Linked DNA regions of Mus musculus. The protein of the gene in region 1 interacts with the protein of each later gene in a biochemical or structural test. Links are inferred from orthologs where the notes say so. Each region holds a gene or a part of one and is shown on either strand. Other genes may lie near its edges.

The links. The genes of interacting proteins can lie anywhere in the genome.
Region 2: the proteins of Mxd1 (region 1) and Max form a complex in vitro, tested with the Homo sapiens proteins (4 studies listed by BioGRID, with this or other methods). The link is inferred for Mus musculus from reciprocal best matches to the Homo sapiens genes MXD1 and MAX.

What each region holds. Positions count from the first base shown.
Region 1 is NC_000072.6:86,651,531-86,656,622, reverse strand, and holds part of Mxd1 (max dimerization protein 1), read left to right. Parts: exon of another isoform or gene 1-2,669; intron 2,670-3,423; coding exon 3,424-3,538; intron 3,539-5,021; coding exon 5,022-5,092. UniProt on the Homo sapiens protein: Component of a transcriptional repressor complex together with MAX. In complex with MAX binds to the core DNA sequence 5'-CAC[GA]TG-3'. Antagonizes MYC transcriptional activity by competing with MYC for MAX binding.
Region 2 is NC_000078.6:76,950,807-76,956,361, reverse strand, and holds part of Max (protein max), read left to right. Parts: intron 1-3,085; coding exon 3,086-3,193; intron 3,194-5,555. UniProt on the Homo sapiens protein: Transcription regulator. Forms a sequence-specific DNA-binding protein complex with MYC or MAD which recognizes the core sequence 5'-CAC[GA]TG-3'. The MYC:MAX complex is a transcriptional activator, whereas the MAD:MAX complex is a repressor.

The sequences.
Region 1 (5,092 bases):
TCTGTTGGGTTTGTTTTGATGGGGGCCACTCCCAGGGCAGGTCCTGCCTACTCGTCCCAGGATCTGCAGCCCTGTCTTTTGTCTGCTGAATTCAGCTCTCATCAGAGCATGTGTTCTGCTCTCCTGACGGGTGTGCTACCATGCCAGTGCTGTCTTTAGTCACCGCAGCTTTCTAAGGGTTCAGTATCTGTGCAGCGAGCTCCTCCTCTATTTCCAAAATGCTGACCCGTCGCACACGCATAATCTTCTAGATAAAGTTTAGGCGAATTTTCCAACATTTAAAAAAAAATGTTGGGATTTTGTTTTTGTGGACTTGTATTAAATTTGAAGCAGGCTGGCATTCTTGCTTTGAGGGGTCATCGCCAGGAATGTGCAGAGCTTTTTCCATTCACTCAGATTTTCCTGTCCTTCAGCAATATTTGATAGTTTTCTTCCCGTCAGTCCTTCTCGGGTTGTTTTAATTTCACTCCTAACTGTGGTACCGTTCCTCTTGCTTTGGGAGGAGTTGTAAGCTCTCCAAGTGTGTGTGGCTGTGCATCGAGGTCTGAGTCCACCTTTTGCTTTGTGAAGGCCTTGGGGGAAGAGGGGAGTGTTTCAGAACGCCAGAGCCTGTAGCCTGCAAAGTGAGGCACATGCCTCCCTCCTGACCTGGATCCTGCTGCCACATGAGACACGTGACCTCAGAGGGACCTCGTTACCCTCACTAGCTTATAAAGGCTTTGTTCATATTTTCCTGCCACATAAGCAATATCTGTATTTCCACAGAAGGCTTAGCTTGTTTACTAGATGTTTCAAGGACACAAGATGTCAGTTCTGAGTATTTTATCGCTCACTCCTGCTGATGAGGACCCTGAGCTTGCTGCTGCTTGAGAAGACTGAAGCAGTGTTTGTCCAATACCGCTAGCCTTGTGTAAGGATACAATGTATCGGACCCTCTGCTCCCAGTATCACAGAGGCTCTCTAGGGTAGGCTCTGTCCCACGGTCTACAGATAAGGAAACTGAGGCGGTGGAGTTCCAGGTCACATGAGAACTAAGTGGCAGAGCAACCTCCACCCTGCCCCTCTGCTAAAGTTGAGTTATTTAGCAATTGAATGGTGAAAGTCATAATAGATAGATAGATAGATAGATAGATAGATAGATAGATAGATAGATAGATAGATAGCCTGGGTGCTTGCTGACCTAGAGGAGGGGGGCTGATAAGTGTAGAAGTGTGGCTTCTCCAGCTGCTATAGACCCAAGCCTTTTGTCTATACATGCTACAGCACTTCTCTGGAGGAGGGGCCTGCAGCTGGCCAAGTTTATTACCTAGGCTCAAGGCAGTGTGGTTCTGCTAGACACAGGCCGAAGGGGTAACAGGAGCCAGTGTTTAGCACCACCTTCTCCTGCTGGGACAGGAGCTAAAGGCCACTCTTGGTAACAGAATACTGTCTAATGTGACAGTAAGATGGCCCAGGGGGACAGTCACAGGTGTGACCACATCACAAGAGGACAGTATAATAGACTTGTTCCCTGTAGTCTTTTCGTAGTGAGCGGGCTGATAAGCATCTTTATATAATTAATTAATCTGTAAACTTTAGAGTGAGAGGTGCAAGTCAGTCAAGTAACCATATAGTCACCAGTTGTACTTTTTCATATTTTTTTCCTTTCTAGATTTTTAAGATGCATGCCTGTGTGTGGGTATGTGCATGTAAGTGCAGTTGTGTGTGGAGACTGGAGGCATCAGATTCTACTGGTTGTGAGTTGCCCAACATGGGTGCTGAGAACCAAATCCAGGTCTTCTGGAAGAGCAAGTGCCCTAACCACTGAGCTGCCTCCAGCCCTCACGGAGTGTCCTTGGTATTAATTTTCTAGTGTGTGACTTGGCCAGTTTCAGTTTCACTGTAGCACTTCCTACATGTGCACTGTAGCTTGCAGTACTCTGACAGCATGATTGGTACTCATAGCTTCTGCTCCTCCTGGCCCCGGTGCTATTGAGTCTTTAGTGTGGGCTCGTCCACAGGGCAGCTCTTGCCAGCCAGCATCCAGACCTTTCCATTTGCCACCTCAGGGTGGTGTGCTCCCTGAGCTCAGAGCTGGTGCCTACTGAGATCTGAGCCACACTTCCCAGTGCTGCCCCCGGAGGCCCTGCACTGTTCCCCGTGGCTGCAGGCACTCCGTCTAGCTGGCTGTGTGCTGGAATGGGCATTGTCCAAGGCCAGGCTCTGGGTAGAAGACAGAGATGGACTCTGTCTTCGAGAAGCTTAAAGTCCACTGGAACTGCTGACGCCATCATCCATTCGTTCAGTGAGTGAGTTAGCTGCAGCTCTGCTTCCCAAAGAGTTTGAAAGAAGGGTTGAGGGACAGACACAGTCTGCAGGGAAGCCCCAAAACGAGGCTTCCCTGTGCTCAGGAGGGCTTTAAGGAGGTGGTGGACCTACACAGGAACCCTCAGAGTTGCCTGTCTCTCGTATTCCATCCCAGGGTGAAGACCCAAGTCTAGGTTTCATTGAAGTATGAAGTCCAGGGTTGGGGTTTCTTATGCTTCTGGTCACGCTGTGACACAGGATCTGGTGTGGCTGTGGTCTCTCCTCATTGGCCTTTGTCCAGCACACTTAGGATGAGAGAGGGGTCCTCCCAGTCACACATTTGTTAGCATTGCCCAGGATAAACTTGTCCCATATGTGAAAAATATATATTTGTTAGAATAACAGATTTGTACAGTCAAAAAAACCTAAACCTAAAACCAAAAGTTTTTCAGTAAAAAACCTCCCAGCTTTCCTTATGTTCCTGCTTGCCTGCCTTCTCTTCAGCCACTACCACTGGTTTTGATGAGTTGTTGAAGACTCATGACCACAGAAGCACATGCATGTGGATTCTTGCTTTCCTGCCCTGTCTGTGCAGACAGCGTCCTCAGCTCAGATCGCTGCCATAGAGATCCGGCTCAGGCTTTTTCAAATGGCATAGTCGTCTCCTATGTGACTATACCTGAGCTTAGTGACCAGTTCCCAGCACTGGCTGGTTGGGTTGTGTCCACCTTTGCTAATTTATGTCTCTGTCTCTATCTCTCTATATATATATCTCTATGCCTCAGTGAATAACTCCAAACTTAAATTCTGTGCACAGCAATGATACAATGGTATATATTCAGTGACTTAGAAAGAGAAATGCAGGTTGAGGACTTTTCTCAGGGCATGTCATCTTCTGACTCAGGAGTACCTGACTTTAAAAAGATCCTAATAGAGCAGATTTTACTTATACCTATGCCCAGAATTACAAATGGAATCAACCTGGAAGCCCCTAGTCCTGCTCCTCACTGGGTTCAGCGCAAGTGCCTGACCTCTCACACTGTCATTGCTGGCTCCAGCTTTTGCTGGGCTGGGCACTCATGCACTTCAGAACCTGTTGTGGGAGTCTCAAGTGCTTCTGTGCTCCTGTTTCTACAGGCGTGCTCACCTCCGCCTGTGCCTAGAGAAGCTAAAGGGATTGGTACCGCTGGGCCCTGAGTCAAGCCGACACACCACTCTGAGCTTGCTGACAAAAGCCAAATTGCATATAAAGGTAGGTGCCTTGACCTGCTGCCCCGCCCCTTCTGACCTGGCAAGGGTGTTGGGACTGCATGAAGGACAGATAGATGGAAATGTGTCTCCAGGATGGTCTCTGGGCTCCTCCCACCTGCCTCCCAAACCCAGTTAAAGGGTCCAGTCAGAAATTCAGGCCCTGGTGCCTCTAGCCACTGGGCTCCCCACCATCACCAGGACCTAAGCATTTCACAGCCTGACCTGCCCCTGTTTGCACCCACCACTTTCTCCTGAAGGAGAACCCACAGTCTCCTACATGCTGTATAACACACACACACACACACACACACACACACACACACACACACACACACACACACACACACATACACACACACACACACACACACACACATCTGCTGTACCCTAGGAAGCAAACCCATTGTAGCTCACTTACTCTAAATGCTTCAGGGACGTGGGACAAACTGTCACTCTCCTGCCCCTGTAGCCACATGGCAGGGTATGCTGCCTACTGCAGCCCTCTCCATTCCTGTCTTGTTGTGTTCTAGAGGCAGGGCCATCATACCTGCCATTCCTTCTGTGGTACCTTGCCCTCACTTCTTTATGCATAGCCTTTCCTCATGCTGCAGGTCTCTGTACAGGGCTGGCTCCCAGTGCCAGAAGTCTCCGCTGCCCTTTCCTGAGTGGGATCCCTGACTCACTGACTGACATGGGCCACATCTATCAGTGTCCTATGTGGTGGCTGGGTGTTTCCAGAATTGTAATGTAGCTCCATGGGGGAACCAGGTCTTTGTACATACATGTGTCCCAAGCACCACCTGATCTCTCTCTGCTGACTCTGTGTGTGCTACTGAGCCAGAGCCAGCATCACCATTCAGCAATAGCTTGGTTCGACACATACCAGCTTACTAACAGCTAGCAGCCTGAGTACACACAGCCCTGGGAGAGCCTCAGTTGGAAGCAAAACCGCCACAATTAAACACTCTCGTTAATTATCTGCCGAATTGGAGAGCTGGGGGCAGATTTGTAGGAATAAGTCGTCTGTGGAATCATATGTCCAGATGCCTCTGGACAGTTCCAAGCCAGGACTTTAACATGGCTCTGCTCTCCTGGTAACAACAGAAGTTAGTTGGGGTTTTTGTAGCATGAGAACTCACTTTGTACTGGGGACTGTGCTGGGATAAACCTCTTTTTAAACAGAAGAGTTTTGTAGCTCATGTGCCATGTGTCTTTCAGTTCTGAGAGGTGTTCAGATGGTGGTTGAAACTGTCCAATTCTCCCTGCATCTCCATGACAGGCCAGCCCCACAGCACATGACTGCTGACGTTAGCCAGAGCCCATGGTGACTGGCCAGCCAACTCCTGCTCTAGGAGAGATTACAAGGGACACACCACCTGCCTCCCAGGGATGCTTAGCGCATTTTCCTGCTGTTGGGGCAGGTACAGGCTCTTTGCTTGTGTAGAATACCCATTGGCTCCAACAACCACCCCTTTGACTTGCAGAAACTTGAAGACTGTGACAGAAAAGCTGTCCACCAAATAGACCAGCTTCAGCGGGAACAGCGGCACCTGAA
Region 2 (5,555 bases), on another chromosome or scaffold:
TGTCAGTTTAGCGACTAAGCTTGCTTTCAACATTGAGCTGCACTAAGATACACATGCTTGTTAGTGTGAGAGGTGGACAAATTATAGGTGACGGGTTTGCTGCTGTCTGCCAGCGTGGAAAAGTTTGGTGGAACTACAGCTGAGACTGAGTAAAAGCCTTGGCCTAGACATCAAAGCTGGAAGCAATTTGGTACTGTAGTTCCTGGTGAGCAGCTGTGGACCACTCTCTGGTATCACAAAGCCCCTAGTACTTCTCTTAGTCTGGGACATGCTGATGAAGAAGGGCTTTATGACAGAAACTGCAAATCCTGTGTTACAGAGCAAGCAGTGTCCAGCATCTACTCCTGAGGATGTATAGGGGAGTCATTTGGGAACCTGTGACATCGCCCAAAAAGACCTCTGTGATCTATTCCACAAGGGTACCACCGGTCCCAGTGTCAGCATGACCAGACACTTCTCGGTATAGGCAAGAGAGTGTACACTCACCTGAATTGCTTTGTTCCGCTGTTGCTGTTGATTGCTGTGCTGCTTTAAAAAGACAGCTCCTGGGAGGATCTCCAGCACCTTCCGCCGAGGATCTTTACCTGGTTTTTCTTTCCTCAGTTCTGAAAGCTTGGCCTTTTGGGAAAGAGCTGTCAGCAAGAGAAGATGGCTAACAAGACAGTATAATAGCCTTCCCATTGGCCCATCACACAAAGCTAGGGGGTATCTGCTTCATCTTCAGCATAGAAATACTTTGCAGAGAGAACCCTCAGCCTTGTGTGAAGGTGTGTCAAGTTTTCCTATGCTCTGTAAGCACTGGAAATGTCACTTAATTCAGAGTTGCCTGGAATTAGGCATGTGAGTTGGGCATGTTTTTCACGTGTGCTTGCAAATGAGGCCAGGGGAGGGGAAAACAAGTCCATCCTTGCGGCTCTCTGTTTAGGCAGAACAGCCGAGGGTAGGCATGGCAGGATTGCTTGCTCTAAGACTCCCCCGTTCTGCTAGTTAAATTGGGTCTGGAACCACCACAGAAATTCCATCCACTGCTTGGAGAACAACAGTCCCCAGCCCAGGCTTTCTACCAGGCAGTGGCCTGCCGCCTTTCGTAGCCGAGCCAACTTCTAACTTGGCTGGCTCCCCAGATGAGAAGCCAAGATTTCTGCTCATGGTCTACGGCCAAGTTCACTACAGTCTTCCAACCAAACGACTTGTTGTCCATCTGAGTCCTTTCAGTGCTCAGCAAACGGGAGGGGGTGGTGCATCTTGTGGGATGATTTTGTTGTTTGGTTAAACTTAGCTCCTTGCTTGCAGCACAGGCCCACAGGAAACCAAGACCAACTTAGCTCTAACTGCTTGGGATTTTTAGGGTTCTCCCAAAAAGAAAACAGACAATTAGGATTTTATTTGTATTAACAGGAGGGATTGTGGGTAACTGGGGTCACTGCTTCCGTGCACAGCTCTTAAGCTGGGAGGAGGGCCAGGAGTCAGGGTGATTTAGTAGACAGGAGTATCTTGGACTGCTGCTGAAGACCAATTGATTTGCATGTAAATAGACCATCTTGGAAATTAGAGTAAACACCAGAGGTCTAGTCCATGCCAAATGCTGGTCCTAGGTCTCTTGGGCTCCTCAGGTACGGATTGTGACAGGCCAGTTTACCTCAAGCTGTCTCACACTGCCGCTGGAGGGTGGCTGTAGTTATCTTGCCCAGTGTTGTATAATATCCTCTAACCTCAGGTACCTGGTTTTTCAAGCTTAATTGTCCTTTCAGATTCCTTTTCTATTTTCCATATAACTAGTTGAGAAAATATTTTGCTTAACAGTGAACTGAGGTTTGAGAAGGGTTAACTTTACAAGTCCTTCAGGACAGTGGCTGTAATGGGGATTTGTAGCCGATTAACAACTGTAGATAGGCACCTAGGGATCAGGAGAAAAGTGCAGACCTCAGTGAGTCACAGACTTTAGAATTTGATAGGAGAAGAATTTCAGGTCCTTTTCTTCTCATGGCTCTGTCTGATTCTGTCTGACCATCTTTTCTAGTACAAGGATTCTTTGAAAGCAGCATTTAACTTGGTTTTCTCTTGTTGCTGCATTTTCAAAATTCCTGGCGCTCTGGGCTTAGTGGCCAGGTCACTCTAATGTGTACATAGGTTCTTTAGGCTAGCCTAGCCCAGCCTGCTCTAGTCAGGGTAAAATCTCAAAGAGTGTGTGTGTCTATAATGCCTGAAGTGTAGGTGTGGTGAAGTTTTTGCTGAAATAGGTCCTTGTGTTCTGTTCAGAGGGAGATGAAGCTCCTTAGCACGGTGCCCTGCTCTCTTTCCTTTCCTGATTGGTTGGCAGTCCTGGCCCAACAGCTGACTGTTTATAATTCCAAGCAGGAAAGGTTAAAGGCTGGTTAGGTTAGGGTATTTAGAAAACTGCCAAATGGGCCTGCCCTGCTGCAGGGGCCTGAGGGACTTTACCAAGAGCATGTAGGGGTCAGAAGGTCTGCTGCCCAAGAACTGCCTTTCTGGCTCAGTCTGTGTGAGAGGAAACTGAATGTAATTGACAGTCTGTCAGCTCTGCCATAATGAGCTCAGGTGCAACTGTGTTTTCTAGAGGATTGGTGCTCTCTTGTATGACTTGATAAGAGGATATGCTAGTGACCTTTATCAGGAGGGTGTCAGCGGAGCCTCAGGATGATGGGTTTCCTGTGGACAGAAGCAGCCCACGCCCCAAGTCTCACGGTAGAGGTAACCATAGCTTATGAAGTGCCCGCTGGAGCTTCCCTTAGTAACATTCCAACCACAGACTGGCAGCTGCTCCATCGTGTAGGTTGGGGACACTCACTGGAGAGTCACTCTTTGTCCCTGAATAACTTTGATTTTCCTTGTGCATGAGCTGGAGTCATCGTGCTACTTTGGATGTTCCTGTTGCAAGCCTTGCTCACCCTTTCTCCCCTTTAACAGAGCCTAATTCTGGAGACTCCTTCCTAACTACCCACCTCACAACAAATTTTCCCAGTCCACTTGCCAGGGACAGCGCTGACTGCACACACTTCCAGGCTTGGCCGCATCCACCTGTAAAGAAGTACACTCCTGACATGCTCTTTCTTCACTCTCCTAGGCTGACAAGCGGGCTCACCATAATGCACTGGAACGAAAACGTAGGGACCACATCAAAGACAGCTTTCACAGTTTGCGGGACTCAGTCCCATCACTCCAAGGAGAGAAGGTGAGTTTATTGACAAAGCCAGTTGGCCCATCAGCAGCTTGGAACGGACTAGAACATCCCTTCTGTAAAGAAACACAGTCAGGTGGCATGGTCTCTCTCTTTTTTCTTTTCTTTTCTTTTTGATTCTTTGGAAGATCCCCACACATTCTTAATTATCTTTAGCAAAAGCAATGTCAGCTCTAATAGCTCTTGTCAGGACATCCCTTTCAGAGTTGGAGATGCTGTAGTCCATTCCTTTTTTATTTGGTAGTGCTGGGCTTGAACCCAGGGCCTTGTACATGCTAAGCAAATAAATTAGTCACTCATGACATTACTATAACTATATCCTGTACTATGTAACATGGTCCATAATTAGTTTGGGATCACTAAAGATTCTCCCAGGCCAGCAACACCCTAAACCTCTGTGGGAATTTCTCTTGTGCAGTTCAACATTAGTACTTACTTGGTGTAAATGAACACTTTGAAGCAGGTCTGTGAACTGCCTGGGCACCAGTGATTTTCAGTTCTGACACATATTCTTCCCAACATATGTAAAGAGCATTGTTAGCTGTGGACCAAAAAAGTGAGACATGTTCATATGAGAGAGAATAAAGCAGTTATTCTCATCCTTCCTGGTGGCCTTTTGAAGCTTGTATTTTCCCTGGAGAGGTAGGAGCCAGCTGTTTCTAGCTTCAAAACCCAAAAGCTTTGAGCAAAAGCCTGTGGGTTAGGGTCACTCCTTAGAATAAAGAAAAAAACATTTGTTTGCACAGTTAGTTCTACCCTTGACACAGTGTAGCAACAGGCTGCTTTTTGTAGCCCCCTGGGTCAGCTTGTTTGAAAGAGCCTCACTGTATAGTCAGACTGGCCTGAATCTGGGATTCAGCCCATCTAGCCTGTTAGCATTACACCTAGCTTAAGGAACACGATTTAATAAAACGGTGTTTACTCTAGGTATGCTTCAAATGGCTTTACTGCTTTGGTTCTCTGCTAAGTGTCCTGAATTTGCTTTGTTATCCAAGATTACGTTTTTCATGTTTATAAAAAGTTGAAAAGCTATGTTTTCTATTTTGTCTATAATGTGGCCTTCTGTGTGGTTGAAGTATGGAGTAAGTCTAAGCTTACAGGAAAACACAAATAGGCCATGTGAATGCCGTATTACAAAGCCAGAATTTTGCTGTACGTTAAGCCCACTTGGTATATACTTGATTTAATGGCCTTGAACCAAGGTACTTACCGGAATAACAGCATTCCTGAGTATAACACTGAGCACCACAGGAAATCTTTATGACTGAGAGACGCACCCTTTGTGCAAGAGATTTATCTCTGATGCATACCTGACCTGCGGACACTTGGTGCTTATTCCGTATGCTAGAGTGTCAGCATCACTTGGTGAGCTTCTGGGCTAGAGCTGCCTTCATCTAAACCTGGGGCTGGGGATGTGCTTCTCAGTGGGAGGGCTGTGACCCGCCCACTTCCAGAGCCACATGAACTCCTGGGGTAAGCCAGGCAGGCAGGCTCATCTGAGGAGTTCTGAAGAGTGAGACCACTGAAAGTGTAGCTCACGAGCCACAGCTGCAGCGCTTCCTTCCTTGGCCTCTTCCCTTGCTGTTACATTCTTCCTTAACACCTTACAGGTTTACGATACTAGGTCCTCTTGCCGCGTTTCTTTGAGGAAGTTGAAGTTTGACTTTGCTAGCTTACAGATGGGATGAGTAGTTTGTCATCCGTGGTCCTTTCACCTACTCCATTCAGCAAACATCCTTGCAGGGTCTACACACACCAGCTACTGTTCTTAACAAAAATAGATGTTTTATTTTAGCAAGGAAATAATAGAAATTAAATAATCACTAAAATTAGGAATACTGGCTAGGCATGGTGATAGCAGATACCTTTAATCATAGCAATTGGAAGGCAGGTGGATCTTTTTAGTTTAAGGCTGGTCTGGACTACATATTAAGTTCCCGAATCGCCAGGACTCTGTGTATGCTTGCATGTGCATGTGCATGCGCTATGGAGGAGATTAAGGTGGGGCGGTTGGTGGAACAGATAGATCCCATTGGCAAGATGGCCTTTGGGCAGATTTCATGGTCGTGAAGAACTATTTGTCTGGCTCTGGGCATTCAAGGCAGGAGGAAGGCCAGTTGAGGAATCTCGAACAGGCCAGAATGGATAAGGAGTGGGTGAGAGGATGATACCAGGCCCTGTATTGTAATTTCTTGTGTTTGCATGTTTGTTGAGATGGGGTTTCTTGTATCTCTGGCTGACCTGGAACCTACAGCATAGTTAAGGCTGACCTTGAATTCCTCATCTTCTGCCTCCACTTCTTAAGTGCTTGGATTTGGTTTAGTCGTTTTTTTGTTTTGTTTTGTTTTGTTTTTTT